Mus musculus: one gene and its partners. The protein of the gene in region 3 binds, or shares a complex with, the protein of the main gene of each other region. Links are inferred from orthologs where the notes say so. Each region holds a gene or a part of one and is shown on either strand. Other genes may lie near its edges. The genes, in order: Virma, Cbll1, Rbm15b, Mettl3 and Zc3h13.

Evidence for each region.
Region 1: Rbm15b (region 3) and Virma share a complex: the UniProt entries of both Homo sapiens proteins name them as parts of the WMM complex. The link is inferred for Mus musculus from reciprocal best matches to the Homo sapiens genes RBM15B and VIRMA.
Region 2: Rbm15b (region 3) and Cbll1 share a complex: the UniProt entries of both Homo sapiens proteins name them as parts of the WMM complex. The link is inferred for Mus musculus from reciprocal best matches to the Homo sapiens genes RBM15B and CBLL1.
Region 4: Rbm15b (region 3) and Mettl3 share a complex: the UniProt entries of both Homo sapiens proteins name them as parts of the WMM complex. The link is inferred for Mus musculus from reciprocal best matches to the Homo sapiens genes RBM15B and METTL3.
Region 5: Rbm15b (region 3) and Zc3h13 share a complex: the UniProt entries of both Homo sapiens proteins name them as parts of the WMM complex. The link is inferred for Mus musculus from reciprocal best matches to the Homo sapiens genes RBM15B and ZC3H13.

What each region holds. Positions count from the first base shown.
Region 1 is NC_000070.6:11,509,188-11,515,206, reverse strand, and holds part of Virma (protein virilizer homolog), read right to left. Parts: intron 2,180-6,019; coding exon 1,039-2,179; intron 1-1,038. UniProt on the Homo sapiens protein: Associated component of the WMM complex, a complex that mediates N6-methyladenosine (m6A) methylation of RNAs, a modification that plays a role in the efficiency of mRNA splicing and RNA processing.
Region 2 is NC_000078.6:31,488,621-31,494,639, forward strand, and holds part of Cbll1 (E3 ubiquitin-protein ligase Hakai), read right to left. Parts: coding exon 5,962-6,019; intron 3,560-5,961; coding exon 3,459-3,559; intron 2,976-3,458; coding exon 2,892-2,975; intron 1,922-2,891; coding exon 1,848-1,921; intron 1-1,847. UniProt on the Homo sapiens protein: E3 ubiquitin-protein ligase that mediates ubiquitination of several tyrosine-phosphorylated Src substrates, including CDH1, CTTN and DOK1. Targets CDH1 for endocytosis and degradation.
Region 3 is NC_000075.6:106,882,817-106,889,501, reverse strand, and holds the start of Rbm15b (putative RNA-binding protein 15B), read left to right. Parts: upstream 1-2,426; 5' UTR 2,427-2,534; coding exon 2,535-5,198; 3' UTR 5,199-6,685. Other genes in the region: Manf (mesencephalic astrocyte-derived neurotrophic factor precursor), read left to right, coding at 277-461. UniProt on the Homo sapiens protein: RNA-binding protein that acts as a key regulator of N6-methyladenosine (m6A) methylation of RNAs, thereby regulating different processes, such as alternative splicing of mRNAs and X chromosome inactivation mediated by Xist RNA.
Region 4 is NC_000080.6:52,296,910-52,302,928, reverse strand, and holds part of Mettl3 (N6-adenosine-methyltransferase subunit METTL3), read left to right. Parts: intron 1-2,527; coding exon 2,528-2,745; intron 2,746-2,823; coding exon 2,824-3,228; intron 3,229-4,113; coding exon 4,114-4,289; intron 4,290-4,843; coding exon 4,844-5,060; intron 5,061-5,270; coding exon 5,271-5,458; intron 5,459-5,971; coding exon 5,972-6,010; intron 6,011-6,019. UniProt on the Homo sapiens protein: The METTL3-METTL14 heterodimer forms a N6-methyltransferase complex that methylates adenosine residues at the N(6) position of some RNAs and regulates various processes such as the circadian clock, differentiation of embryonic and hematopoietic stem cells, cortical neurogenesis, response to DNA damage, differentiation of T-cells and primary miRNA processing.
Region 5 is NC_000080.6:75,335,212-75,341,230, reverse strand, and holds part of Zc3h13 (zinc finger CCCH domain-containing protein 13), read right to left. Parts: intron 5,310-6,019; coding exon 5,157-5,309; intron 3,862-5,156; coding exon 3,661-3,861; intron 1,923-3,660; coding exon 1,759-1,922; coding exon of another isoform or gene 1,742-1,758; intron 1-1,741. UniProt on the Homo sapiens protein: Associated component of the WMM complex, a complex that mediates N6-methyladenosine (m6A) methylation of RNAs, a modification that plays a role in the efficiency of mRNA splicing and RNA processing.

The DNA of each region.
Region 1 (6,019 bases), on a different chromosome or scaffold from region 3:
CCTCCCAAGTGTTGACTTAAAGGCACACACTGCCTGCCATACTCGGCACACTTCTCAGAGCCTCTTCTCCTAGCAAACCCTGCTCCAGCAATTGAGCTCTTCCTCCATTTCTCCCTCCTTATTAGTTTTTAAATCTGCCATTCTTCCAGTCTATAAACGTGCTTTCCCATTCCAGAAAAATGAAATAAAAGGTTCCATTTTGTCCACAACATGTCTGTCTGATGTTGCCTTACTTCCTCATTTTGTATTTTAAAAGGTTCTCACATAGCCCATGCTGGTCTCAAACGCACTATACAGCCAAGGATGACATAATACTCGTGATCTTCCTGCCTCCTCCTCCTCCTCCTCCTCCTCCTGAGTGCTGGAACTACACGCTAAGGATAGAATCCAGGGCTTCTGTGAGCTAGACAACACCTACCAACTGAGCTGTATCCCCAGGCCCTGCACCCTCAGGTGGGCTGGAAGAGCTGCTGTCACATCCTCCACCCCCGCTCATCCATACTTCATCACCTACTATTACAGGCTAGGAGAAACCATGTCAACCTCGCATGCTTCCTGATCCTAGTTCTTCGCTGAATACTAACAAAGGCAAAATTCTACTATCACGTAACTAAGACTGATGACAGAAGCAAGTGATGACACCAAAGACACACTGTCAGGGGAACAAAATTGCATCATAACTTATGATGGACAGGAGTGGTCAGGAACCAAGGTTTTACAGAGAGCCTCTCCTTCCTGTGCCAGCCTCTTCTACCACATCCCAGGAGGTCGGCTGCTTTACCTTTGTTTTACTTACAGACAACTCAAACAAGCATTGTTATTGTTCACTAGCACCTATATTCCTAACTCTGCTTTATATACCAACACATGCAGGCTCACTCAAACAGTAATGTATCTCTAAGTTTGCTGCTGAATACCTATTTTGAGATATCAACTATCCTTACATAATTATGTACTGCATATGAACAGAAAAAAATCAAAGTCACAACATAAAACTCCCTCCAATGATTTGTGATCCAAAAGCCAAGTATACCTTACCTAAAGAGGACAGGGTACGGGTCATCCCGCTCTGGAGGCCCGGTAATCCGGGCTATTGTGGGGAAAGACTTGACAGGAGGTTGGGTCATTGTATGAGGTGCAGTTTCCATGACATGAAAAACCTCCTCTAAGAGATTAGTAAGCTTTTCTATTTCACCTTCACTTATAATTGAGGACTCCAAAAGATCCATGTCCATAGAAGCTTCTACTTCATTCTCATAATCGGGATTTGCTCTCTCCAGCACAGCATCTGTGTCCTGGTCAGGCTCACTGTGGTTAGGAACAGCTGAAGTCTTCTCTGCTATGTGGTCACCAAGTCTTTTAATCTCTGACAAGATTTCATAGAAATGGCATTTTTGAAGAATAGCTGAGCCAGCAGTGACAACCCTCACAGTCTGATCCAGAAGTATGAGTTCCAGAAGTCTTTGATAGCCACTTTTCTCATTTTGGGTGCTTCTTAAAAAAGCCTCCATTCCTTCTGTCATGCTAATGACACTGTCCAAAGCTTTAAAAGCATTTAACTTAAGGGAAGATGAGACATGATCAGCAAATAAGAGATCAAACAATACATTGATCACTCCTGCTTGTAGCAATTCTGTGACTCCTGGAGCCCCACATTCTGCTAATGAGGTCACTAGCTTGGTCCCAGCTTTGAGCTGTCGGACATTTAAGGCTATGGGCTGTCGAAAGGCTACTTGTAAATTTAAAGCTTGCATTGTCCAGTCTACCAACTGGCCAAGGGAGTCTTGTTCTGTGTTTTTCAATTGCAAATAGCTTAATCCTTTTATAATTAGACTTGGAATTTCTTCTAGAGCCGTCACCCACTTTGCACCCCTGTCTTCCTGATACAGGTCTAGCAGTTCAGTTAACTTCACCGAGGCTTCTACTGCCCCTGAATTCTCTTTATCTGGACCTTGATCCTTCATTCTACTGATTTCAATTTCAAAAGTAGTTTTGTATGGACAGCTGAAATACAAGAGTGGTGCCAGCTCCCTGTCATACGGGTCATACGTCATAGGAGGGACAGATGCCAGGTCTTCTGGAGTATACTCAACATCGAAGTTTGGATACTTGAATGTTTCACGTTCCAAGTCAGCAATTCCATCTTCATCACTAGAGATCTGCTCGTAGCCATCGTCCCCTGAAAATAAGTTTAAACAGTATCTGAGCCCTATATCACTCTTATGACTGTATAATGCTGACTGACCAACAAACACCCTGGTTCATGGTAAACCATGCATCTGAACTTTGAATGACTGATTTCCTCAAAAAAAAAAAAATTCAACTTTTGCTCCCCCCATAACAAGAATTGACAATACTTACACTCTGTAATAGGATAATTATGGATAAGCTTACTAATTAATTACTGTTATAATTAATTCTGTGATGACACCTTTTCCTGACAGAAATAGAATTAGAAATTCAAAACAACAAAAACAAATTCTCTTAGAAGGGAAAATATAAAGCTTAACCTTCTGAAACATTTAACTTTTTAAATTATTTTTGATTTTGCAGGTGTCTATGTATGAATATGCGCACACGAGTTTGCAGGGAGGCCAGAAGTATCAGGTGCCCATGGGCTAAAGTTACAGGCAATTCTGAGCTGTCCTATGGAGATTCTGGGAACTGAACTTAGGTCCTTTCAAGAAGCAGTTCATATTCTTAACCAGTGAGCCATCTCACGAGCCTCTTCAGAGATTTTTTAAAATAAACTTTTCTATTTATTGGGCTTGGGGGACATGTGTCACAGCACATGTATGCAGCTCAGAGGACAACTAGCATGAACAGTCAGCTCCTTCTGCATGCAGGTCCTGGGGACAGAAATCAGGTCATCAGGTTTGGCAGAAAAAGCCTTTACCTAATGAACTATCGCAAGCTCAAGATTTAATTTAATTCTATTTATTTATTTCTATTTCTTTATTTATTTGAGACAGTCTCATCATGTAAACTATACTGACCTGGAATTCACAGAGATTTGTCTGCCTCTACCTTCTGGTGCTATGATTAAAGGTGTGTGCCACCATGCCCAGCTCAAGCTTATGTTTAAGAATTTAAAAAAACAAAAAAACAAAACAAAAAAAAACCATGGTAAAGCTAAGTCAGAGCATTACAAGCCAGGCATGGTGCCCAGTGCCTGTAATCCCAACACTCAAAGGACAGGAGACTGCACTGAGTGCCAGGCCAGCCTGAACATCAACAGTGTCTCGGGGCTAGAGATATGGCTCAAAGGTTAGCAATACTTGCTGCTCTTCCACAGTGCCCAAGTCTCATTTCCAGTACCTACATGGTGGCTCACAACCATCCTGTTCTAAGGGTCTGATACCTTATGAACTTATGTCCATCCTTTGTGGACACTGTACACATTTGGTACTCAGACATGCATGCAGGCAACAAAATACCTCTACACACAAAATAAAAGACTACCTCAAAAGAAGAGAGTGAGGGAGGCTGAGGAGAAGGCTCAGTTGGTAAAGGGTCTAGCACTCAAGCATAAACTCTGGGTTCGGATATCCCCGCACCCATGGAGAAAACCAGAGTAGAGGATGGGGAGGTTCAAATGAAGACGTGTAAGAATGAACACCAGAGTCTGGGTATCCAGAACCCATGTAAATGTTAGGGTGCAGTAAAATGCATCTATGACCCCACCACTTGAGGGCAATGGGAGCAGAGACAGGTGGATCTTAGAGGTAGATAGCCAGACAGCCTAGCCAAACAGTGAGCTCCAGGTTCACTCAGAGACCATGTTTTAAAATATAAGGTAAGAAAATGATATAGGGGCACTGTAGAGATGGCTCAGTGGTTAAGAGCACTGGCTGTTCTTCCAGAGGTCGAGTTCAACTCCCAGCAACCACATGGTGGCTCACAACCATCTGTAATGGGATCCCATGCCTTCTTCTAGTGTGTCTGAAGTCAGCTACAGTGTACTCATATACATAAGACAATAAATAATTCTAAAAAAAAAAGTGATATAGGAAGACACCTAACTGAGTTAACTTCTGACACAATGACACACACAGACAAACCGACCGACAGGAGGGGGTGGGGGGCCAAGTGGTTAAAGTGCTTCCATCCAAGTCTCAGAATCTGAGCTCAGAATGAACTCCAGAGCCCACATCAGGTGGACCTCAGTGTTCCTTCATCAAGACAGGATGTGAGCACAACAACATCCCTAAAGTGTGCCGGCTGGTTGGCCTGGAGTATGCAGCTTTAAACAAGAGGCCCTTTCTCAAGGTAGAAGACAAGGACTGACACCTGAGCTTGACACGCACACATGTGCCTATTCTTTTTGTTTGTTTGTTTTTTTGTTTTTCGAGACAGGGTTTCTCTGTGTAGCCCTGGCTGTCCTGGAACTCACTCTGTAGACCAGGCTGGCCTCGAACTCAGATATTCACCTGTCTCTGCCTCCTGAGTGCTGGGATTAAAGGGGTGCGCCACCACGCCCGGCACATTCTTCAACACACAACATATAGACACATACATGCAAAGACAAAAGGAAAGAGAATACTGTAATTACAAGATGAAGTATTTTCACAAAAACAAACAAACAAACCTGTATGGGGCTGAACTGATGCTCAAGGATCATTTCCAGACGAGCTAGCTCAGTTTCCAGCACCGATATCAGGGGCTCACAGCAGCTGGACGCCAGCCCAGGGATTCAATGCCCTCTTCTGGCCTCTTTGAGAAGCTACACTCACATGAACTTATCCATACACAGAATTAAAAATAAACTATTGAGCTGAGCATGGTGTCAAACCCCTTTACCTCCAATACTTAGGATGTGGAGGCAAGTGTATCTTGTTTCCTGGAGACAGCCTGACAGCCTGGTCTACAGAATGAGCTCTAAGACAGCCAGGGCTACACAGAGAAACCCTGTCTTAAAAAAAAAAAAAAAAAAGGCCGGGCGTGGTAGCACACGCCTTTAATCCCAGCACTCGGCAGGCAGAGGCAGGCAGATTTCTGAGTTCGAGGCCAGCCTGGTCTACAGAGTGAGTTCCAGGACAGCCAGGACTAAGCCTCTTTTGTTAATCACAATATAAGAACAGCTTTTTTCCCCTCTGTATCAAAACAGAACTAAAACCAAAGACATTGGTATGACTGCCTACTTATAAAAAAGTAAAAATGTATAACGATACCCCAATAAGAAAGGACAGCAACCCACCCACAAAACCTTTGACCCAAAATGTGTCTTGCCTACAAGATGTGCAGAAATACAAAGACTGAGCAGAGAATGAGGGAATGGCCAACCAATGACTGCCCTAAATTGAGATCCATCTCACAGGCAAGAACCAATCACTGACACTATTAATGATATGTTATATTTGCAGATAGGAACCTAGCATAACTGTCCTCTGAGAGGCTCCATCTAGGAGCCAATAGAAAGAGATACAGAGACTTGCACCTAAACATTAGATGGAGCTCAGGAAAAGGGAGTTGGGAGAAGGGACTTGAGGACAGGGCCTCCACAGGAAGACCAACAGAATCAACTAGCCCTTGGGGGCTCCCAGAGACTGAATTACCAACCTAGAGCAAGCCCGGGCTGGACCTAGATCCCTGCACACATGTGGCAGAGGAGCAGCTTCATGCAGGTCTCCTAACAACTAAAGCAGGGGCTGCCACGGAGCCTGTAGCCTGCCTGCCTGTGGATCTCGAACCCCTAAATGGACCACCTTGTCTAACCTCAGAGGGAGAGGATGCACCTAGTTCTGCAGCAACTTGATGTGCAGGGGGCGGGGTGATAGTGAGGAGTGACATCCAGAGGGGAGATTCCCGCTTCTCTCTTGAGAACAAGAATATTCTCACCTGGAATAGGGGGAAGACTTGCATGAGGGGTGCTGGGAGGAGAGGGAAGGTGATAATGGGTCGTGAAGTAAATTAATTAATTTTAAATTTTTAAAAAGACAGACCCCCTGAAATGTTCCTAGAAAATTGCTCCAGCCCTCTCTTGCTCACCCTTAGTAACACACTCATGAAAGCTGAATCT
Region 2 (6,019 bases), on a different chromosome or scaffold from region 3:
AGCAAAGGATCTATCATTTACAACCAGGGAGTTGTCTCTTTTCCTTGTAGGAGCTAGGGTGCTTCTAATTTGTGGCCACTTTGCACATTTCTTGCTTTTCAGCCATCTAATTACTACACAGTCAGAAACATATCCATGCTAAATAGGGTAAGGTCTTTTCTTTTGCATGATGCCCAAAAGCAGTAGCATATACTATTTAAATTAATTCTGGTTGGTAACTTTATTTCCTGCCCTTGGTTTGACAATTAAGACAGGTTTCTCTCTAGATAGCTAAAGACTACACTGGTGAAGTGCATACTAGAACACATTTAGTTACCTGAAAACTAAATTGCACTTTTAAATAGTAATAGTGAAACCTCTATGGGCTGGAGATATGGCTTGGCAGTTAAGGGCACTGAATGCTCTTCCAGAGGACCTGGGTTCAAATCCCAGCACCCACATGGCAGCTCACAACTGTCTGTTAACTCCAAGATCTGACACTCTCACACAGACAGGCATGCAGGCAGAACACCTATGCACATAAAATATAGGTAAATAAATTAAAAAAAAAATCTATGTAAAAGAGAGAATCTTTTAATGTTCACTACATTTAATGTTGCATTACATTTTAATTCTTTATCTTAATGGAACAATCACATGTTATATTAAGCTAATGCACAACACTGGGCTGGGAAAGGCATTAGAGAAATACTTCAACAAAGGCTACAATATATACTTCCAAATTTTATATTCTTCTGAATTATAACTCTATAGAACATATAGTAGTATCTTTTAAACACAGTATATATTTCATAATCTATAACTTTAAAAACCTAATGAAATATACCAAGAAAATCAGTTGTCATTGGGTCATTAACAAATCACCCCCTTTTTTTCTTAGCAAAGCCCATATCCTGCACCACAGAGGGGAAATCTTTTCTTACAGTTGTTTATAGTTTTGTTAACAATCAATGGTGTTCCTTGGGGTACTTTCAATTTTAGGTTTAGAGGATCTGGAAACCCTTGAGCTAATCCAAAGTTTCACTCCATTTTTCTCAAGGCTTTCTTATCAGGGGTTCCAAATTAATATAAATTTTCACTTTATTATAGAGCTATCCCAAGACAGATACCATGATGTATAACTTCGAGTCTATCATGATGTCGTTATCACCCAAAACACACCTGTTTGGGTTATTGGAAAACAGGAATAGTAGTGTTTATTATATGCCAATTCTACTGTTCATTAATCCTTACTTCATCTTAAAAAGAATACAGGGAGCCGATAGCTATAAAGCCACTTGTACCACACAGCTGATCAATAGTCAAATGGGGACCTGACCTCAACCATTCTAATCCTGGGGCCAGTGAGACAGCTCAGCAGGTAAAGTGCTTTCTATGCAAGCCTGCTCTTCTAAGTTCCATCCCCTGAGCATAGGTGAAGTTGGAAGGAGAGAACTACTCCACCAAGTTGCCTTCTGACCCTGGCACATGCTCATACCACCCGCCACATTATTCACATACAATTAATAATAAAAGATGTTAATTCTCACTTTGGAAAGAGGTTGTTCTCAATCAGCAAACCACGCTATACTTGCTTCCAGGTATGCCAGACACACACAAAAGAGAAAACAAGAAACCGCTCTGCTGTCCAACACTGTTCCCAGAGATGTCATCATTTCAGCTACTCTGAATGAACTGACAATGGCTAGCTCCATCTTCCAGAGAAGGGGAAAACTAACTCCAGGTTCACACAGAGTGGCTCAGCCAGCACGTTTGCATCCTTGTCTAGTCCCATTACTCCAAAACCTTTAACCCATCTTGCTTATAAGCCACTACTACTAGAACATCTAAAGATGATCATATCTTACCCTGGGCACATCTTATCTCCTTTTTTTTCATGTAAAATAGCACAGTCATAGCAAAAGACATGCTTGCATGGAATCTGTAGGCAAAAATATCATAGTTAAGCATCCTAGAACAAATTAGAAATTTTCAATACTAATTGTCAGTACAGTGATCTACCAACAGGAGGCACATAGGAGTTAAATGAAAACTTATTAAGACTATATACCAGAAGCAGCTAGGAGGGAGGGAGGGAGGGAGGGAGGGAGGGAGGGAGGGAGGGAGTCTGTCTGTCTGTCTGTCTGTCTGTCTGTCTGTCTGTCTGTCTATCTATCTATCTATCTATCTATCTATCTATCTATCTGGTTTTTCAAGGCAGGGTTTCTCTGCTTAGCCTTGGCTGTCTTGGAACAATTCACTTATCTCTGCCTTCTGAGTGCTGGGATTATCTATCTATCTATCTATCTGGTTTTTCAAGGCAGGGTTTCTCTGCTTAGCCTTGGCTGTCTTGGAACAATTCACTTATCTCTGCCTTCTGAGTGCTGGGATTAAATGAGGCATTAAAGTGGGTGGCATGCTCCATCACTGCCCAGCAACCATTTTTAATCACAAGTTTTTGAAAATGTTTTGAAAACTTTGGCTCTTTTTCCAATAAATACATGTCCATCTGTCCATCTGCTAACACACTGCTTTTTCTTTGTGGAGAAGGATCTCATGTTCCGCTCAGATTGCCTTACACTCTGATGTACCCAAGGCAACCCTTGATCTTACGATCCTTCTGCCTCAACTTCCAGAATGCTGGGACTAGAAGACTATCCCCCCTTGCCTGGTACCTGCTTCTATTTTCAGATACGTGAACCTATCAATGCTAAAATAGTCCCTGCAAGTAAAAAGCTCCTGAAAAAGAACTCTAAATGTGTTTTATCTTACCATGTTTCTCCTGAAACTATTTTAAAACAGTAAAAAGAATAATTATACTAAATTCATGGTATTATTAAACTCCCCCTAGCTTTTTTGTACATTATTATGTTATAAAATTAGTTATTAAAAAAAATCTTAGTTGTCCTTACCATTCTCCCATAGACTTTAATAGGCAGTCCACATTTGTCACAGAAATGTACTGGTGTATCGTCCTTTTCACCTAAGATGTTTATCTGTTGAAGTGATAATTAAAATTATCTCTTTAGGCAACTGTACTTTTCAATTCACACAGTGAAATGGTTAGAATTTCTTAAGTTGTTACCATAAACAGAAGTAAAAAGTGATTAGTATAATTCCATTTGCTTGTTCTTCTTCTTAAATAGCAGCTAATGATTTTACTTGGTTCTACCAAAAATTACTTCAAATTATTTTATTTATTTATTTTTTTGTTTGTTTGTTTGGTTTTTTTTTTTCTGAGACAGGGTTTCTCTGTGTATCCCTGGCTGTCCTGGAACTCAGAAATCCGCCTGCCTCTGCCTCCCAAGTGCTGGGATTAAAGACGTGAGTCACCACCGCCCAGCATTCAAATTATTTTTGAAGATGGTAAAAACAAGCAAGTGGACTTATGTGTGCTACACGTCACGACATACTAAAAATCCACACTTAGTGGATAAGTACTTAATGCCTAATTTCTAATTTTTCACTTTTAGTTATACCTTGAAATCCCAAAAAAGGTGTCCTGGAAATCTTCGCTGATTCCCAAAGAGTTCGCCTCCTTTACAGTCATATCGCTGTTCTTCGTTATAATCAAATCCTTCTGAGAGAAAAAAGTTACATTACATTTTCCAACTTCAAATTTCAATTTAAAGTATATTTATTTACATAACAAAATTAAAAGTATATATATTTACTGAAAAATGTTTCTGATAACTTTCAGAGATCTAAAAACATGAAAATCAAAATTCCTAAAACTACTCTAAAACAATAAAAAAACAAAAACAAAAAACTAAACCTATATTAAATTCATGTTATTATAAAACTTCCCTTAGAGTTTTGTATATAAAACTAGTTATAAAAAACGTAGTAAAAGTATTCTAGAGTCCTACCTCTACAACACCAGGCCTTAATTTTACTTACCGTTTTCCCACAGATTTTAATAGACAACTCACATTTGTCACAGAAATTAACTGGCATATCATTTTTAAACTAGAGTTTAAAATGCCGGCTGGAAGTAGTCTTCATGATCATTGAGTCCATCTCTAGTACTTTACAAATGACAACATACTGTGGGTACAGCAGCCACCATATAAGCCACGTGCCAGAGCCAAGAACAGACCTATAACCGAGTCTCTTATTCAATGCTCTTAGCAACTCCACTAACCACCTCTAATATAAAACCTCACCAATTATCACCATGTTGTTTACGGAACAGAATTTAGGAGTAAGACAGATCTTCTAGAACTTGAATGTATGTTAACAGCCAGATTTCTATTCTGGAATTAAAAAACCAATTACTCAGTATTTATGGTAAACAAAACATCACTTAAAAAAAAAACAAAACACACCCATAAATATTCTAAAGTATGGGCCAACAATCTGTTACTATAAAAGGCCACAGTACAAAACTTAGGCTTTCTTGGTCATATAAATCTAGTTAATTCTGCCACGCTAGTAGGAAAATAGCCACAAGGCAATACTCTTAACTGAACAGCAACTTTATCTATTTTAAAGGAACCAAACTTGGCCTGTAGACCAGCTTGCTGACTTCTAACAGATGGCAAGACAGGAAGCGGTTTTTATATTCATGAAACTAGGAAAGGCCTTTTAAAGAATATATTAAAAACAGGAGAGAGCAAGCTCTAGTTTAACTGGCTTCCTAGAATGTCCAAGTTCTTTACAGTAATATTTTATATACAAAGTTCAAAAGATAAATGAACTACACAGACATTTAACAAAGCCAATATTATAAAGAATTCAAAATTAAGAGAAAGGCAGCAATCAAAACAGAGCCTGGAACTGAGGCAAGAACTGGCGAGCACTATGAAAAGGCATCCAACCACACTTAGGCTCCTGCCTGTGACCACAGCACTGACAAGGCCGAGGCAGCAAGACTTTTGACCTTCAAGAGCAGAATGGCTATCCAAGTTCTGCCTCAAAAAAAGTTAAATTAATAGTGCAAAATACTGAGTATGTGAGTAGAAACTATACCACACCCTTTCTGAAGAATTTAGCAAGATCTGATATATTCTGAAATGTACAAATCAAGTCTTTAAAAACAGTCATTTGTTGTGTACATGATATGGAGGGAGGGGTCTGCACATATGGAGAGTGGTGGGTGGAGGTCAGTTCTCTCCTTCCTTTTAAATGGTTCTAGGATGAAACTTGGGTCACCAGGCTTAGGGCAATTACCCTCACCCATTTCAAGAATTTGGCCATCTTCTCAAGTCAAATTTTTAATATTCACATTACAACACAATTACGGCAAAACAAGTATCTACAAGAAAGTAAAATAAATTGTAGGATATCTACAGACTAAACATCTAGGACTACTCATTTGTTTGAGACAGGGTCTGTCCTCAAACATTAATCCTCTTGTCTCAGCTTCCTAAGTGCTGGGATTTCAGCCATGTGCCACCTCACCTGGGTAAAACTATATTTTATTTTTGGTTTTTCTAGACAAGATTTTTCTGTGTAGCCCTGTCTGTCCTGGAACTTGCCCTGTAGACCAGACTGGCCTTGAACTCAGAGATCTACCTGCCTCTGTCTCTGGAGTGTTGGGATTAAAAGCATTCACTACTACCACCCAGCTTACTTGAAAGATTTTTTTTTAAGGGGCACTAGCATCAGTTTTATAGAGGACCGTGAAAACAAATTTTACTTTTAATGTAATGCTCTGTGCAATACCAGGGGAAGGGCGCTTAAAAAGGGATAGAACTAAACTAATTCTAAAATAGGTTTAATAAAATCAGATGGATTACTTGATACACTCAGATAAACAAGAGAACTCTTTTTAAAATTTTACTTGTATTTATGTGCATTGGTGTTTTGCCTGCATGTATGACTACGTGAGGGTGCTGGAGTTACACACAGTTGTGAACTGCCATATGGGTGCTGGGAACTGAAGCTGGGTCCTCTGGAGGAGCATTCAGTGCTCTGAATCCCTGAGCCATCTCCAACCTGACAACTCAGTTTACACTCATTTCAGTTTACACCAGTTACCTTCATCACCTTGCGGGGCCTTTGCGGGCATCCTGCTGACAGTCCTTTGAGTCCGAGG
Region 3 (6,685 bases):
TGTCCTTTGTGCTGGCATGTAGGAAGCCCTCGGGGAACTGGAGCTATGTTCCTTCTCTAAACCACATAGGCTGTCTGCACTGTGTGTCTTATGGTGGCTACTGACAGCCTGAGGTGGCCTTCCTGGTGAAGACTGTCATCTCAATCTTGGGCGCAGTGTGCATTTGTCTTCCCGGCCGCACGTAGGGCTGGACATCCTAAGGATGGTTTGACGTGCAGCACAGTTGGGCCTGCAGCCTCTCCTGCCCAGCCATTTACTCTCCTGCTCTCCCTGCAGACAAGCAGATTGACCTGAGCACAGTGGACCTGAAGAAGCTCCGGGTGAAAGAGCTGAAGAAGATCCTGGACGACTGGGGGGAGATGTGCAAAGGCTGTGCAGAAAAGTCTGACTATATCCGGAAGATAAATGAACTGATGCCTAAATACGCCCCCAAGGCAGCCAGCGCACGGACTGATCTGTAGTCTGCCCAATTCCTGCTGCACCTGAAGGGGAAAAAGCAGTTTATCTGTCTCTTCCCCAAATAACCATTTTGTAATTTATTTTTTAAGCGGGCTCCTGACAATGAGATGTGAACCTAGAGCTTTCCTAGTGATGCTGGCTCTGCAGTTCCCTCTTGCCCATCCCCGAGTGGGGACAATTTCCCCATCCCCAAGTGGGGACAATTTACTTCCTTCTTTGCTGGTTTACTCTAGGACTTCAAAGTTTGTCTGGGATTTTTTTATTAAAAAAAATTGTCTTTGGAGAGTTGAGCTGGCACAGTATTCTGTCCTATAGATTACTGGTTTATCTTTCCAGTCTGAAAAGATCCCTCAGCCTGCCAGTGCTGAGGGCCTGAAACTCCCATAACAGGACTTAAGAGCTTGGGCAGCCAATGTCTTGTGGGTTTGGGCTTCTGGGTGTCTGATACTTCAGCCTGGTGAGGTTAGACTTGACCCCTGACCCCCACCCCCATCCAGTCCAGTAGCAGGGGCTGAAGGTTCTTGAGCTGCTGTTAAGTCTAAAGGACATTTACATTTGGCTCAGCCTATGCAGAAGGAGAACTGTGAGCTGAGTACAGGTGGTCAGACCATAGCGTATCTTTACCCCGCCTGGTACTTAAACTATTCATTCATCGGGGTTCCAGTCTAGCATCAGAACAAGGACCCTTGCTTACCTATATTTTTGGCAAAGTTGGCAGGAATCGGTTTACAAAGAAGCAGTGTGAGCTGGTTGTAGTGGAAGGCCTGAGGGAGTTGTGTGCACTGTGGTTTTCAGTTGCTCCCTTTGCTGGCACTTGTGAACTGTGCCTCAGTGGGGAAACTTTGCTCCTGCTGCCTCCAGAGATAATGAGAAAGGAGCAACTGCTAAGAAGTTATGTTTTCCAAAAGGCTCGTCTTAGCTATCTTCTTGTGTGGTCCCCAAATTCACTTTGCATTCGCAGGGCCTTACATGAAGCCCTCTGCTGTTTCTTCCAAGTTCCTCCTGCACTTTCTCCTCCTGCTGGTTGCTTTCTGCTTATGGGAGGAGGGAAGAGCTGGGTGCGTTCTTCGACATCCTACAGATGCATCAATGATCCAGCAACCGTCTGTGGAGAGCATAAGCCCTAGGGGCCTTTGAGTACTCTTGCCGGTACTTCACCTCATCTCCTGGATGTGGTCAGAACACTGGCCAGCAGTCTGTCAACTTGGCAAGAAGTGATAATGGCATTACCTGCTCTTTACCCTTGGCTCAGCAGCCCCACCTTCCCAGCCTCCTGTCCGCCCAGACACCTACAGCAGAAATTTGGACCCAGTGGCACCAAGATGCCTGTCTGTAGGTTGCAAACGCATTCTAGTTTCTGTACCTGGACCCCGGGGAGGTCTCACCTGTGTCTATCAGGACAGTGCCTGAAGAATTCGAATGCATAAGATGCCTGGATGTGGGTCCTAGGCAGGGTGTAGGCATCCTTGTGTGTCTATTTTCAAGGGGGCCAACTCTGGTCCTAATCAGAAAACTCCATGGAAGGAAATAGAGTTTCTTCAATCTAGTGGCAGGTTGGAGTGGGACGCGCAACACTTGGCTTCGGGCCAAGCGGCCACACCTGCTCCGGTGGGCGTGGCCCCGAGGCGGAAAAAGATAGGCGGACCCGGAGTAGCAAGCAAGCCCTGGAGCACAAAGCGAAAGCGCAGCCGCGGCCTGCCGAGCTCGAGAGGGAATCTGCGCGCGACCCAGGAGCCGGGTGCCTGGGCTCCGGCAGCCACGCGGCGGCGCCAAAGCTCGCAAGACAGGCCGCTTCCTCTGGTTGCCAAGATGTCACGTGGTGCGGGGCCACGGAGCTCCGTGATAGGCAGCGAGCGAAACTCTCGGCCCGCCCACCGCGGTCACGTGTCGCGGCCGGCGCAGCTTGATAACGCAGCGCCGGGCCCCTCGGCGCCGCTCCCGCCCCGCCCCGCCGCCGCCGCCGCGCCGAGTCCTTTTGTCCAAGATGGCGGCGCCGGGGGCGCTGCCTCCTGGGCCGCCGCCGCCGCCGCTCTGAGGGACCCGCGGGCCGCCCGCCCGCCCGCCGAACCGGCGCGATGAAGCGGCAGAGCGAGCGAGACTCCAGCCCGAGCGGGCGTGGCTCGTCATCGTCCGCCAAGCGGCCGCGGGAGCGCGAACGAGAGGCAGAGGCGGGCGGGCGGCGGGCAGCGCACAAGGCCTCCGGCGGTACCAAGCACCCGGTCCCGGCGCGGGCTCGCGACAAGCCCCGCGGCAGCGGCGGAGGCGGCGGGCATCGCGACGGGCGCGCTGCCGGGGATGCGAATCACCGGGCGAGCGGCGGGCGCTCCTCGGGCGCGCCCGGAGGCGGGGGACGCACCGGCAAGGCCTCCGGGGACCCGGGTGCTGGCGGCGCGTCGCCCCGCGCATCTCCACTCCCGCCGCCCCCGCCGCCCCCCGGGGCGGAACCCGCGGGTCCGGGCTCCACCGCGGCTCCGGAGTACAAGACGCTCCTCATCAGCAGCCTGAGCCCCGCGCTGCCGGCCGAGCACTTGGAGGACCGGCTCTTCCACCAGTTCAAGCGGTTCGGGGAGATCAGCCTGCGCCTGTCACACACCCCGGAGCTGGGCCGCGTGGCCTACGTGAACTTCCGGCACCCACAGGACGCGCGGGAGGCTCGCCAGCACGCCTTGGCCCGGCAGCTGCTGCTCTACGATCGCCCGCTCAAGGTGGAGCCGGTGTACCTGCGCGGCGGCGGGAGCAGCCGGCGCAGTAGCAGCAGCAGCGCCGCCGCCTCCACGCCGCCCCCCGGGCCTCCCGCGCCCGCCGACCCCCTGGGCTATCTGCCCCTGCACGGTGGCTACCAGTACAAGCAGCGCTCGCTGTCTCCGGTAGCCGCCCCGCCCCTGCGGGAGCCCCGCGCGCGGCACGCCGCCGCAGCCTTCGCCCTGGATGCTGCTGCCGCGGCGGCCGTGGGACTGTCTCGAGAGCGAGCCCTGGACTATTACGGGCTGTACGACGACCGCGGCCGCCCGTACGGCTACCAGGCCGTGTGCGAGGAGGACCTGATGCCGGAGGATGATCAGAGAGCCACTCGAAACCTCTTCATCGGCAACCTGGACCACAGTGTTTCTGAGGTGGAGCTTCGACGGGCCTTCGAGAAGTACGGCATCATCGAGGAGGTGGTCATCAAGAGGCCTGCCCGCGGCCAGGGTGGTGCCTATGCCTTCCTCAAGTTTCAGAATCTGGACATGGCACACAGGGCGAAGGTGGCTATGTCTGGCCGGGTGATTGGCAGAAACCCCATAAAGATAGGCTACGGCAAGGCTAACCCCACCACCCGCCTCTGGGTGGGTGGTCTCGGACCTAACACCTCGCTGGCGGCCCTGGCCAGGGAATTCGATCGCTTCGGGAGCATTCGGACCATCGATCACGTCAAAGGAGACAGCTTTGCCTACATCCAGTACGAGAGCCTGGACGCAGCCCAGGCTGCCTGTGCTAAAATGAGGGGCTTCCCCTTGGGTGGTCCAGATCGCAGGCTCCGGGTGGATTTTGCCAAAGCCGAGGAGACTCGCTATCCCCAGCAGTACCAGCCCTCACCTCTCCCTGTGCACTATGAGCTGCTCACTGACGGATATACCCGGCATCGGAACTTGGATGCTGACCTTAGGGTGCGGGATAGGACCCCTCCACACCTTCTGTATTCAGACCGAGACCGGACCTTTTTGGAAGGGGACTGGACCAGCCTCAGTAAAAGTTCAGACCGCAGAAACAGCCTGGAGGGCTATAGCCGCTCAGTTCGCAGCCGGAGTGGTGAGCGCTGGGGGGGTGATGGGGACCGGAGCATAGCCAAGCCCTGGGAAGAGAGACGCAAGCGGAGGAGCCTCTCCAGTGACCGTGGGAGGACAACTCACTCCCCTTACGAGGAACGCAGCAGGACCAAGGGTGGGGGGCAGCAGTCTGAGCGAGGCTCAGATCGCACCCCTGAGCGTAGCCGCAAGGAGAACCACTCCAGTGAAGGGACCAAGGAGTCAGGCAGCAACTCCCTCAGCAACAGCAGACATGGTGCTGAGGAGAGGAGCCACCATCACCACCACCATGAGGCTCCAGACTCTTCCCATGGGAAAAAGACTAGAGAGAGTGAACGCAATCATCGGACCACTGAGGCAGAGCCCAAGACTCTTGAAGAGCCAAAACACGAGACCAAAAAGCTAAAGACTCTGTCAGAATATGCCCAGACACTGCAGCTGGGTTGGAATGGGCTTCTGGTGTTGAAAAACAGCTGCTTTCCGACATCTATGCACATCCTTGAGGGGGACCAGGGAGTTATCAGTGGCCTCCTCAAAGACCATCCTTCTGGCAGCAAGCTGACCCAGCTAAAGATTGCCCAGCGCCTTCGACTGGATCAGCCCAAGCTGGACGAGGTCACCCGGCGAATCAAGCAGGGGAGCCCTAATGGCTATGCTGTGCTCCTGGCCATCCAGTCAACCCCCAGCGGGCCTGGCGCCGAGGGCATGCCCGTGGTGGAGCCAGGCCTACAGAGGCGGCTTCTCAGGAACCTAGTCTCCTACTTGAAACAGAAGCAGGCTGCAGGGGTGATCAGCTTGCCGGTGGGTGGGTCTAAGGGCAGAGACAACACAGGCATGCTCTATGCCTTCCCGCCCTGCGACTTTTCACAGCAGTACCTCCAGTCAGCGCTGCGGACATTGGGCAAGTTAGAGGAAGAACACATGGTGATAGTTATAGTAAGGGACACCGCCTAGCCCGCACCTGTGCTTTCCAGCTGTGTTTGTGTCACAGAAGCAGTTATTTTAAAGATCTGCTCCTTCTCCACCTACCTTCTCCCTTGGTTTGAATTCTCTGCTGGGTTTTTGTGGTTCATTTGGTGGCATCCTGTCTACTGCTAAAACTAAGTTCTTAGATTTGGGGGGAATTTTTGTTTTTTTATAAGAAGAAACTTATGTTTCCCGTGTATGAGATTCTGTCTGCTGTATTCTGTATTTTTTTATATTTTATTTTATTTTTTTGACTAACTGTATGGAAAATTGTCAGTAAAGCCTTTGTCAGAGGATGAATTTTTAATCCCGCCAGAGTCCTGGTTTAATCAGGTTTTTTCGTAAAGAATGGAAGGCTTCACTCAGAGCATGCCGTATGTCATGTTTTTGTCACCACTGCTTCTAAAAGTTGTGCTGTGCTGGTCCTGCGCAGCTCTTTGTGCTATCGGGGCCCAGCTCACACTTGTCAAACTTAGCTGCTGGCCAGCAGGCTTACAAGGCATGGTCCCTGTTTATACTAGCCGAAAGCTGAGCCCGTTCAGAGGAAAGGCCTGGGCCTAAGACCTGTGCCAACAGCTACAGGTAGTTTTGTTGTTTTTCCCTGCCCTAAGTGTGTGCTTTAGTTTGGGCGATGGCTGTTGGACAGAGCACCCAATTATAAAAGCCTGTTTAATGGAGGGTAGTTTTCAGTTGTGTAGTCTTGCATTTGGGGGGAGGAACAGTGCAATATTGATGCAAACGGCCGTGGGCATGACGTGCCCAGGCTCCCCCTGGTTCCGTCTTTTAGTCTTACTGTGTAGTTTAGGGTCTCCCCTATCAGTCATCTGCCTGACTGCCAGGGGTCTTGGAGGTAAGATGTTGGCAGGCAGGGTAAGCGGCAGCCAGACTTGTTAACTCTTCAATGTGCTTCCTTCGCTCTCAGGGCTATGTCAGAGCAGCCTGTGCTGCAGTCAAACTTCAAGCTTTGTGGCAAACAGACCCCCCAACTACACTGCTCAGTCTGCAAGGGTGTCAGTGCCAGGAAGATGCCCTTGATGAGTGACATAGTGTTCCGTGTTGTGACCCAGACCTGAGGTAAGAAAATAGAGAAAAGTCACAGTTGTGATGGACTAGAGCCCAAATCCACATCAGCTTTGGTATGAAGGAACCAGACTGATAAGTCCTATGTCTGGGATGGGAAAGTGACTAGGCCCTGCCTTTGTGGTCTCTCAAGTAGAAAGCCAGATCAGGCAACAACGGTTGTCACCACAGATCACAGTCAGGCTCACAATGTGACGGCTTGGTAGTCCAAACCAGTCAGGCTGAGGAGAATGGAACCCTGGTTAGAGGTTCTAGCCAGGCCAGTGCTTCAGGTCTGGCCTACCCTGAGCCAGCACCTGTGACCCCTGGGCTCTGAGATGGACCTTGAAGGCTGTATGGAGTTCATGCCTGTCTACAGAGACAGAAATTTAAGAGACTGGAGAAGAACAGGGAAT
Region 4 (6,019 bases), on a different chromosome or scaffold from region 3:
GGTCATGGACAGCTTTCCCAAAGTATGCTCATTAAATTGGGCTAGACAAAAAAAAAAAAAAAACCCTACAAAGTCAATGTATAATAAGAATTGCCATGTTGGGTGGTGGTGGCGCACATACAAATCTTAGTTTGCACTTAGGAGGCAGAGTCAAAGGCTAGCCTGGTCTACAGAGCAAATTTCAGGATGGCTGGGGCTATACAGAGAAACCTTGTCTTGAAAAACAAAACAACAACAATAAAAAAGAATTGCCTGGAGTTTTGATTAACAAAATAAACATTTGTAGGAATAGGATTGTATTACACAGTGCTTGGCACACATGTTTGTTTGTTTTTTATGTAAGTGTTTTGCCTTCACGGAATTATGTGCCCCACATGTGTGCCCAATACCCTTCAAAGCCAGAAGAAATCTTTGGATCCCATGAAACTGGATTACAAATAGTTGTCAGCCACCATATATGTTCTGGGGACCAAACCCCAGGTTTGAACAGCAAGCATTTTAACCATTGAGCCATCTTTTCAGCCTTGGCCACATAATTGAGTATAAATGGGGAAATGGTTAATATATGACTTAAAACCATTTCAAAATCTACCTAACAAGCTAGGCATGGCATTACATGCCTATAACCCCATCAGGAGGTTAGAAATTTTTAGGTTAGCGTGGGCTAAGTAGATCCTATCTCAGACAAACAAGGCCAGGCATGATAGTTCATACCTGTAATCTCAGTACTTAGGAGGCTAAGGCAGCAGAGTTTGAGGCTGTACTGGGTTACATAGTAGGTTCCAGACCAGCCTGGACTAAATAGTAAGACCCTGTGAAAAAAATCAGGCATCTCCATGACAAAGTAGTGATATAATTTGACTTACAACTTACCAATAATAGGATAGTTGTGGTGGTATATGCCTTCAGTTCCAGCACTTGGGAGACAAAGCGAGGCAGACTTTTGGACTACATAGTGAGTTCCAGGACAGCCAGAGCTACAAAAAACAAACAAAAAAAAACCCCACCTATACTTTTATAGTCCCTATCAAAAAAATCCTTTTTTTTTTTTTTTTTTTTTAAGGGGAGGGGAAAATGTCTCACCATGTAACTCTGGCTGGTCTGGAACTTACTATATACACCAAGCTGGCCTCAAACTCAGAGCTAACTGCCTGCCTCCGCTTGCCTGGGACTAAAAGGCAATGTGCTTCTATGCCCGGCTGCCTTTTTAAATGTATTATTTTGAGAAAGGTTTGCTAAACTGTCTAGACTTAGACATGAATTACTCTGTAGCCCAAAGCTTCTGTGATCCTTCCTGCCTTAGCCTCCCAAGCTTACAGGCCTGGCTTCCACAACTTATACATTAGCCCCCTTGGCATACTTTGAATCAAGAAAACACTTTAACACTTACGTTTGTTAATAGAATCTGAATTCCTTTTTGAAAAGAGCTCGTGTTTCCTTGTTACAGTGGCTTTTATCATCGTGCATATTTGCTCATTGAAAGTAAATTTTTGGTACTTCAAATTTATAACTTCAATAAGAAAGTTCAGGATTTGCTCCTAGTGTATGCCTCTGTTTTAGTTCACATTTATTAGACTTGTAGGATCTCTGAATTCCAAGAGTCTAATATCCACCAGCACAGTCCTGCTGAAGGCAAGTATTTCTCTTAACACTGTTGTAAGTGTGCTATGTAGCAATTATTACTTACATTTCTTTGTATACTTTTAGCTAAGGCCAATTATTTTAAACCATCCAAACCTTTACTGTGCTTCCATGACCTTTTCATGTGTACAGTGGTGGAGTAAGATCATATAGTGGGAATATGCTGGGACCATCATTTGCTGATCAGGCCTTTGGCCAAGTATTCCAAGGGCCTGGTGTTTATGTTTATGAAGCATATTCTCCATGGCCAATAGCCATGTTTCATTAAAATTTCAGATCCATCCCTGGGAAACATAATCACATCCCAGGGTTTTTGTTTGTTTGGGTTTTTGTTTTGTTTTTTTTTGGTTTTTTTTTTTTTTTTTTTTTTTTTTTCATTTTTTGAGACAGGGTTTCTCTGTATAACCCTGGCTGTCCCGGAACTCTCACACTGTAGACCAGGCTGGCCTCAACTCAGAAATCCACCTGCCTCTGCCTCCCAAGTGCTGAGATCCCAGTTTTGATTATTGAAAATACTCTTTTTTTGTTTGTAAATTTTAGTTAAAGTATGGGTTTATTGTATCATTTGAGAGGAGGAGAAGGTGGCAGAGACCTGCCTGTAAATGTACCATGCTACATTACTTCCTTTGAAGCAGTGAGGGCAGAGAATCAGGGAAAGATTGCTCCCCCAACAGAGAAACGGTGAGTAGTTCTCTGGAAAATCCAGGATTATTTTGGCAAAACAGCAAGTGCTGCCATGTGAATGAAAGGTGATCTAGAGCTAACGCTGGTCAGAGACCCTGCTTGAAGTGAAAGATGTGTGTGCTAGCGATGCTGGACAGTTGAACCCCGAGGAACGTGAACACTGACTGGACTGACCCTTTCCACTTTATTTTCTTCCTTGTAGATTTAAGGAACCCAGAAGCGGCACTGTCCCCAACCTTCCGTAGTGATAGTCCCGTGCCTACTGCCCCTACCTCTAGCGGCCCTAAGCCCAGCACAACATCTGTGGCCCCTGAACTAGCTACAGACCCTGAGTTAGAGAAGAAGTTGCTACACCACCTCTCAGATCTGGCCTTGACCTTGCCCACTGATGCTGTTTCCATCCGTCTTGCCATCTCTACGGTAATCACCTGATGAAATTGGAATTTATCCCGAGTTTGCTTTTGTTCATGGTGTCTTATCGTCTTCTCCTTTCTTTAGCCAGATGCACCTGCCACTCAAGATGGGGTAGAAAGCCTTCTCCAGAAATTTGCCGCCCAGGAGTTGATTGAGGTAAAGCGAGGTCTCCTCCAAGATGATGCACATCCTACTCTTGTAACTTACGCTGACCACTCCAAGCTGTCTGCCATGATGGGGGCTGTGGCAGAAAAGAAAGGTCTTGGAGAGGTAGCAGGGACCATCGCAGGGCAGAAACGGCGTGCAGAACAGGATTTGACTACAGTGACCACCTTTGCCAGCTCTTTAGCATCTGGTCTGGCCTCTTCAGCATCAGAACCAGCTAAGGAGCCGGCTAAGAAGTCAAGGAAGCACGCTGCCTCCGATGTTGATCTGGAGATAGAAAGCCTTTTGAACCAACAGTCAACGAAAGAACAGCAGAGCAAGAAGGTAGGGACCACGCGAACACGCTCACATTCCTTAGTTACAGTTCTGATTTGTTACTGTTTGCACAAGGAGTATTTCGTAGAATTGAGACGTAGAGCAGTGTTTCTCAATGGGGATGATTTCTTCTACCATTACCTCTACCCCACGTTCGGTGGTTTCTGTGTCCAGTGTTATCACAGTATGGTAGAGTGCTGTTGGCACTCAATAGAGAGAGGATCTGGAAGGTGGGGGCTGAAACTTTTGTGAAACATGCTACAATGTATAGTAGGACCCCTCCCCACTCCTCCTTCCCCAGATGAAACTGTCTAGTCTTAAAATATCAATAATGCCGTTTCGAGGAAGTCCTTATTTACAGAATCTGGAAGAATTCTCAAAAGAGGATTCAGAAAACAGAAATTTAAATAAGTACTCATTTGGACCAAGTTATATAAGTTGATGAAATTATCAGTACAATGGTTCTGATTTGAACTATATTAAATTCTTACTTGTTCCCAATTTCTAGTTTAGTTTTAAAATGTTAGTTTGGTCTTCGATGACGATAACCAGAGTTGTTCTTTACAGAACTATTGAATAGAGTGAGCTAAGCAATAGAAGACTAGTGCTGTGCCTTTCTTAGTTGTCTAATCAATCCAAATTAGCTTTTTTGAGGGGAAGTTACACTCTTTTAGGGAGGTAAGATCGGCTTACTGCTTAGTTGTAGAAACCAGGCTCTTTGCATTTGAATTACATTCTAAATGCTTGTGAGGAGGACTGAGCCTATAACAACTCTGCTACATTGTTCATTCATATATTCCTCATTAGACATTAAGTGATTAGACTTATGGAGGCAGTCAGTTTAAGGGCTAATTTATCTACAAACCCTTAAGACCAAGGCTACTTCTGTCACAGGTCAGTCAGGAGATCCTAGAGCTATTAAATACCACAACAGCCAAGGAACAGTCCATTGTTGAAAAGTTTCGCTCTCGAGGTCGGGCCCAGGTGCAAGAATTTTGTGATTATGGGACCAAGGAAGAGTGCATGAAAGCCAGTGACGCTGACCGGCCTTGTCGCAAGCTGCACTTCAGGTCTCTTGGGAGGGAATGAGGTGGGGAGGGTTCCGCAGGAGCAGCAGTTCCTTTGCAGCATATTCTTCCTGCCTTTGGAATGGCTACTGCATGAGAAGGAGTACAGGCTCACTTGCAAGTAAAAGGAAGATTTTCTAGCCAAGCATCTGGATCTGAGTAACAATGAAAGTTAAAGTCTGGAAGGCAGAGAGTCCTAGGAGAAGTCAGGAACCTGGGCGTAGGGCCGGTGTTTACTCTGGAGTAAGGAGGCCTTCCTGGACGATATCCTTCCCTTTAGTAAGAGAAGAAAGTCTGTATTCTGTTGTCTTTGAGACAAGGTTTCAGAGCTCCGGCTGGGCACGCTGAGGATGGGCTTTCTGATTTTCAGGCTCTGGTTATCAGTGCTAGGATTATAGGCCTAAGCCGCTGCCCCCAGATCAAGTCTTTAGTCAGGAGAACGAAAGTCCTTTAGTTTAACAATGCAGAAAATTGGGGGAGAACAAGAAATTTTGAATTGTATGATCTACTTTTGAAGTACCATCTTGATTCTGATTCCCTTTTTTTTATTTTCCCAGACGAATTATCAATAAGCACACTGATGAATCTTTAGGTGACTGCTCTTTCCTTAACACATGTTTCCACATGGACACCTGCAAATATGTTCACTATGAAATTGATGCTTGTGTTGATTCTGAGAGTCCTGGCAGCAAGGAGCATATGCCAAGCCAGGAGCTTGCTCTTACACAGAGTGTTGGGGGTGACTCCAGTGCTGATCGACTCTTTCCACCTCAGGTACCTACATGTCCACACAGCCCGGGACAACCTATTCTAAGCTATATACTTAAACTGGGTGGGGTATCCATATATGTAGAAAAATAGGGAATAATTTAGCAATCTGGCTTACTGATGGGAGCACAATGGGATAGGAATGCTTGAGGTAGAGGGTTTGGGACTGTGAAATCTGTGAAAGAAGGAAAGATGACCAAATACTACCTCCTGCAGTGGATCTGTTGTGATATCCGCTACCTGGACGTCAGTATCTTGGGCAAATTTGCAGTTGTGATGGCTGACCCACCTTGGGATATTCACATGGAGCTACCGTATGGGACATTAACAGATGATGAGATGCGCAGGCTCAATATACCAGTGCTACAGGATGACGGCTTTCTTTTCCTCTGGGTCACAGGAAGGTAATATAATCCAGATATGTAGGTATGGGAAATACAGCAGAGTGAAAACTGGGTAAAGTCCTGGGTTTCTCAGGCATTTGATTAAATGTCACTTAGGATGCCTGCCTCTTCTGAGGGGTTTGATGTTTTTAGCACTAATACTTGGGATTCCTGATTTAGAAAAATGAGGTCTTTCAGATTAGATGCTGCTGCTTCATCTTTTTTCACTGTTGCCCCAACAGCAATGAATGCTTCTGTTATTTATAATACATGTGACATTTTGAAGGAAAAAATATGAAAATGTGGGCAGATAAATTGTTTAACCCTTCCATCTTTTTTTTTTTAAAGATTTATTTATTATGTGTAAGTACACTATAGCTGTCTTCAGACGCTCCAGAAGAGGGCGTCAGATCTTGTTACAGATGGTTGTGAGCCACCATGTGGTTGCTGGGATTTGAACTCCGGACCTTTGGAAGAGCAGTCGGGTGCTCTTACCCACTGAGCCATCTCACCAGCCCCCTTCCATCTTTTTAGGGCCATGGAATTGGGCAGAGAATGTCTGAACCTCTGGGGGTAAGTAGA
Region 5 (6,019 bases), on a different chromosome or scaffold from region 3:
AATGTCAAATATGTGGTTAGTAGTTTTTCTACTTTTTGTCACTGAAGAAAAATCTATCTCTTATCCCAGGAAATAGCCCTGTTCTATTCTTCTCTTTTGTAGTGACATAAAACTTAGTCCCAGTATTCTTCATGGGGTTTCTGAGCATTTAAAACTGCTTTCCAGTTCTGTCCTGTCTCTCAGCGCGTGCTGTTATTTGTAACCCAGGCTGGTCTCAAGCTGAAGACCCTCCCCCTCCCCCTGAGCAGAGCTCACAGGCTACAGAAGAGTTCACCAGGTCCACCTACTGCTGATGTCCTCAACACCGAGAAATCTGAACACTCACAATTCCCTCTGCAGATGGATCAATTAAGCCATTCATAATGAATCATTAAATGTCACAATGTGTCATATGGTCCATTAATTATCTGTACTCTGAATTACAAGATATAAGGCTCTAAACAATTCTTGTTGAGATTGTTCAGGGCTTTTGAGTTGCTACTGTATCTGAGGGACACAACAGTATATTAGGGAGGAACCAAGAAGTACCATAAAATATATTTTACACAAAGTGGTCAGTATCCTGAAGATTAGAATCAGCCATAATATGATGCAAATGTAATTAAAACTGAAATAATAATAGGATAATGGTGACTATTGCTATACGTACATGCTTAGAGATGGGGGATGGTAATACTCAAGAGAAATGCTGAGTTGAGAAAGGCTGCCAGGACAGACAGCACCCGGCAGCAGAATGAGACATTAAGGACACGCAGGACAGGGACAGCAAGGGATGATTATTGTAGTGTTCAAAAGCCATTTTCAACCAGGACTTTATGTGGGAAAGATAAGATAGACAGAGGAGACAGAGAGACAGAGACAGACAGACAGAAGGAGGGGGGAGGAGACAGTGAGATAGAGACAGAGACAGAGAAGGAAGGAGGGAGGAAGGAAGAGAAGGAGAGAAGGCGGGAGACAAACAGAGGGAGAAGGAGAACAGAAGGGGAGAGATGAAGAGGGAGAGGGAAAGGGAGAGAGAACACACAGAAGCCAGAAGAGGGTGCTCCCCTGGAGTTAGAGTGATGTAGGTGGTTGTGAGCCACCTAACATGGTGCTGGGAACTGAACCCCAGCCCCCTGGGAAAGCAGTAAGTGCTCTTAACCACTGAGCCAGCTCTCCAGCCACATAGACTTGACTTTCTAAAAGGTCTCCCATCGCGCCTATCTGTGTTCATTTTAATCTTTAGAGAGGGTTTATATCTTTTGTTTTATAAATTTAATCTCCTCAAATCTCTTTTTCTTTATAGAAATTTAATAGGAAGAGAATCAATGTTTTCCTGTGGACTCCTGTAGAATCTTAGTGCTTTCTAACATTACTGGCCAGCTTCTTTTGTCACATGTCCTCCACACTCACCTACAGCCCCAGTTTCCAACTTTAAAAAGCCCAAGCCTCTCATGAGATCCTTTTCTGATGTTTAATCACCTTCATTACTCTGTAGTAAATACTGACACACGCTCTGACATACAGTCTGCTTCATTACTCTGTAGTAAATACTGACACACGCTCTGACATACAGTCTGCTTATCTTAAGGAGCCTTGCTCACAGGTAAAACAGCTCACAGAATGAATGGACTTTTGTGCATGAAGTTTGGAATGACAATTATTCACAACAACCACTCATGTGAGGTCTTCCTGTATGTGCCTGGGAGACGAGGAAAGCAAATTCACAGAACAGTTAAGATGAAAAATATACTATTCCTACCAACCACTGCGCGGTACCTTTTCGTTCTTCACAAGCTGCTTCCGGATTGCAGAGTCCCGTCTGAAACATAATGCTTTACAACATGGTCCCAGGTCACTAAGAAGACTTGCTCGCTCTTCTTTTCGAAGTAAAGCAGCCATGTTGAGAGCCCCTAGTTCATGTTCGAAAAGGCTGTCTGCATCTTTCAATCAAAACAAGCATACGTTAAGTTTCCCTAATAGCGAAGTGTCACCATTGACTTAACTGAATACTCCAAGAACCTCTCCTTTACTAAACCAGAGTGAATGACTTGACAAGGCAAGCAGCAATGGTCCCCATGAACGGACCTTCAACACACAGGTACCTTGTTCATCTTAATAAGAACAATAATGTGATGTTATTTTAAATTTAAGATGTGCCAAAAGCAGACTTCAGAGGGAGAATGAGTCCACTGACTACTGACTTGGGAGAAAGGTCAAGCAAGAGCATTTAAGTCAAACTCAAGGGTCTGGCCTAGAAGTAAATCCCACTTACAGTCCTACATCTCAGGACAGCTCTACAGCAAGATTCAAACACAGTCACAGCAGAGACAGTGGCCTCTGGAACCCCTGCTGTGAGCACAGCTAGGTGTTAGCCAGACGCCTCAGACACATGGGACAATGTGCTAAGACACAATAACATGGTTTTCGATCAAACTATGTAAGGGAAAGAGAAAACACTTAGCTTGACATACACACTGACACATAGACAGATAGACGCATGTGTGCATGTACACACACAGACACATACACACACACAGAAATTTTTATTAAAAAATTAGGATGGGATAAAGTAGACAGAAAAACAGGGGTTAGAGGAGTTTTTTTTCGCAAGGCCATAGATCTAACCAAAGTGAAAAGAATGTGGTAAGAACCTTCAGATCATTTTTCAGGTTACAAAATGTTCACAATTACAATATTAGTAGTCTTAATAAGAAATTTTACTGATTATGGGACTAGGAAAAAGGACACAGGTTCATGACACTTTTAAAATAATACCCCCCCCAACCAAAAAACAAACAAAAAACCAAAACAAACGTAGTAAGTAATGGTGCCTTCACTTTTCTCCCTCCCCTGATTCAAGCATCGGCTCAGCCTCTTGTTGATAAAAGTTCTAGTAAGCTACAAAAGGACATCAGAACAAACCACCCATATCCATACATTAAAAGATTCAGTTCTGCTAAAAGTTGTAATCAGGTGAAATACTTTCTGACTAAACACTAACAGTCAAAGCACAGCACTACTCTGTCCCAGGCACTGTTCGCAGTGTCCTACCTGTACTAACTAGGCTGCTCTTCACTGCAGTCCAAAGACCTTGGTGGTGTAAGTACTCCAACTCCAACTCACAGGAACAGATAGGGACTAGGTGACAGGCAGGGCCTGGATCACAGACCAGTGACCCTACCCACCGAGCTAAACCATTCTGTTAAAGGCTTAACTTAGACTTTGCCCTTGGGTACATCCTCTGCTTGTTACCAGGTGAAAGGTTGTGAAGTCATCCATTATTTGCTTAGGAAAAAAAAAAAAAAGAAAAAACCTACAACATCATGAAGTGCTTTGTTTAGCCCTGGGCAAAGCTGTATATTCTGACACCTGAACTTCTGTGTTAGAAAGCAATTTTCTCTTTCTGTGGTGCTGCAATCGAGTCTAATGCCTCCTGCTTACACTCAGTCACTGAGGCAACCCTCCAGCCTTCAAAAACATTTTTGATACAGAAAGTTCATTTTCTTATTTTTCTAATGTTTTTGTCAGAATTAAGCTTTTCTTGAACTTAAGAAATAATATCAATAACTCCTTAAAACTGATCCTGGAGCACAAGTTCTGAAGACAACCAAATGGAGCCCTTCCCAAGACCACACTAACAATCATAGCATGTGACACAGTGAAGGCAAAGGAAGTCACCTTTGGGTTTTTCTACAAGTTGTTGACATGTTTCTTTAACTTTGGTAAAGAGCTCAGAACCAGCCAACTTTTTAGAAATCCCAACTCGTAGCAGAACAGCTCCAGGCGTGAACTTTAAGAGTGCAGCCCCAGGCTCTCTCGGTTCTTTCGGGTGCTTTGGCATTAGTCCAGACCAGTCCACATCTATTACATCTAATGGATCTGTAAAACAGTTAAAGAAGGGAAGAACAGGACTTAATCCCAGCACTCGGGAGGCAGAGGCAGGTGGATTTCTGAGTTCGAGGCCTACCTGGTCTACAGAGTGAGTTCCAGGTCAGCCAGGGCTACACAGAGAAACCCTGTCTTGAAAAAACAAAAAAACAAAAAAGAAGAACCTTTCCATTCTTAGCCGGGCGTGGTGCCGCACGCCTTTAATCCCAGCACTTGGGAGGCAGAGGCAGGTGGATTTCTGAGTTCGAGGCCAGCCTGGTCTACAGAGTGAGTTCCAGGACAGCCAGGGCTACACAGAGAAACCTTGTCTCGAAAAACCAAAAAAAAAAAAAAGAAATGGTTGTCTGAGGCTGCCGAGATGGCTCATCAGGTAAAGGTGCCTGCAGTCTGATTCTTGGAACCCACATGGAAGACAGAGAACTGCCTAGGAAAAGCTGTCTCTCTGAGTGCCACACATGCTCAGCCAAAAAAAAGGTAAGTTATTGAATGTAAAAGGGTAACACAGTGACTAGTCACACAAAGCAGACAAGCTACTGAAGACGTGTGACAAATTACATCTATAAGTTAGGAAATAAAAGGTCAAATGAAATAAGAATAGTATAATGATCCAGACCAAGCCAAGTAACTCCCTATCGTAAGAACAACAAGAAAACAAAACAACAACAGGCAATGCCTATAACCTGGGGCTTGGGGAGGTGCAGGCAGGAGAGTGAGAAGTCACTGTCAATTATACAGGGGGTTTGAAGTCAGCTTGGAGTGACTACATGAGATCCTGTCTCAAACACTAAAATAAACGGTCAGGAGTGTTGCGTCCTAGTACTCACTCCAGTGAGCCGGGCAATGTACACAGACAGCACGGTAAGGACAACAGTCACGGAATGGACACATTTCAGAAAAGGAACTATATCAGCTGTGTTCAAACAAACTTCAGCTACCTCTATTTTTGAAAGTTGTTTAAAAAGTTGACTGAGCCCACCGCAGTTGTGAAGTCTTGCATCGCATGCCTGCCATGGTGGACACTGGCAAGCAGCTGGGATGTGCTGAGGTTCTGGGTGAGATAATATGAATCTGAAACTCTGGAAAAGAACTCTTACAATTCTGCTCTTCCCTAGGACACGCTTCCACAGGGAGTGCCAATTAAGAATAGAGACGCACACACTGTACCATTCTTTTAATGGGAAGAGCTAAGTGCCCCTTACCACCTCTTACGGCAGAACAGAACCAAGCACGCATTCCCCCCCCCCCCCCCCCCCCCCCCCGCACTTCTGAGCTCTGCCGTGCGTTACCTGGCATCTTCTCTTCTTCCTGCTGGTCCTCTCTCTTTTCTGCATCCCCTGCCAGAATTTCATCTAGCTCGTCATCACTGATGGGCTCATATCCTTCCCCAGCACCAGATCCTAATGAATGTGCATCATCTAACTTGGATTCATCATCTCCTGCTAAACAAAGAAGTTCATGTCAAAAATAAATAAATAAAAACCAAAAGGAAATTATAAAAACTAAAAGTGTAATTAAAAGGCACTGGGCACAATAATAAGCCATAAAAAAGTTTGTTTTTTTGTTTTAACCAGAAACCTACATTGCTTAGTCAAACACTTGATACATTAACCTGAAAATTTTTACTAGTCACATTCTTAATATTAACAATATAGCAGCAATATACAAACGTGCTGTGAGGCCACAATTAAAGTATTAGAAATAATGTTGAGCAGGTCGCTATACTGACAGCTCATCCATGTGCACACTCGATTGTGCCACTTCACCCTGCCTCCCTTGTTCCCCTTCCTTCTGCTGGAGCTCTTCCTCAACACGCTCCCTCCTACTCCGTGTCTTCCTTTTGTCTGTTAATTTTCAATAATAACACCTGAACATAAGAAAATCTAATTCCTAAAGGCTATAGTAATTTTTTACCCAAATAAACTCATTTTAAAAACTTGCAAACCTATTTTAAACTACAGTATCAGCTCAAATCTTAGTCTATGATATTTAGCTCATTATATGAGCTTTTTAACTGTGAGCACAGATGTGAAAATGCATTTAATTTCTACTACCTCTCTATTCCACTTCTGTCTCAATGTTTTCCTTACTGAATAAAATTTTTGGAAGAATGCTGTAATCTACTACCAAAGTGTCTTGTTGCCATCAGTAG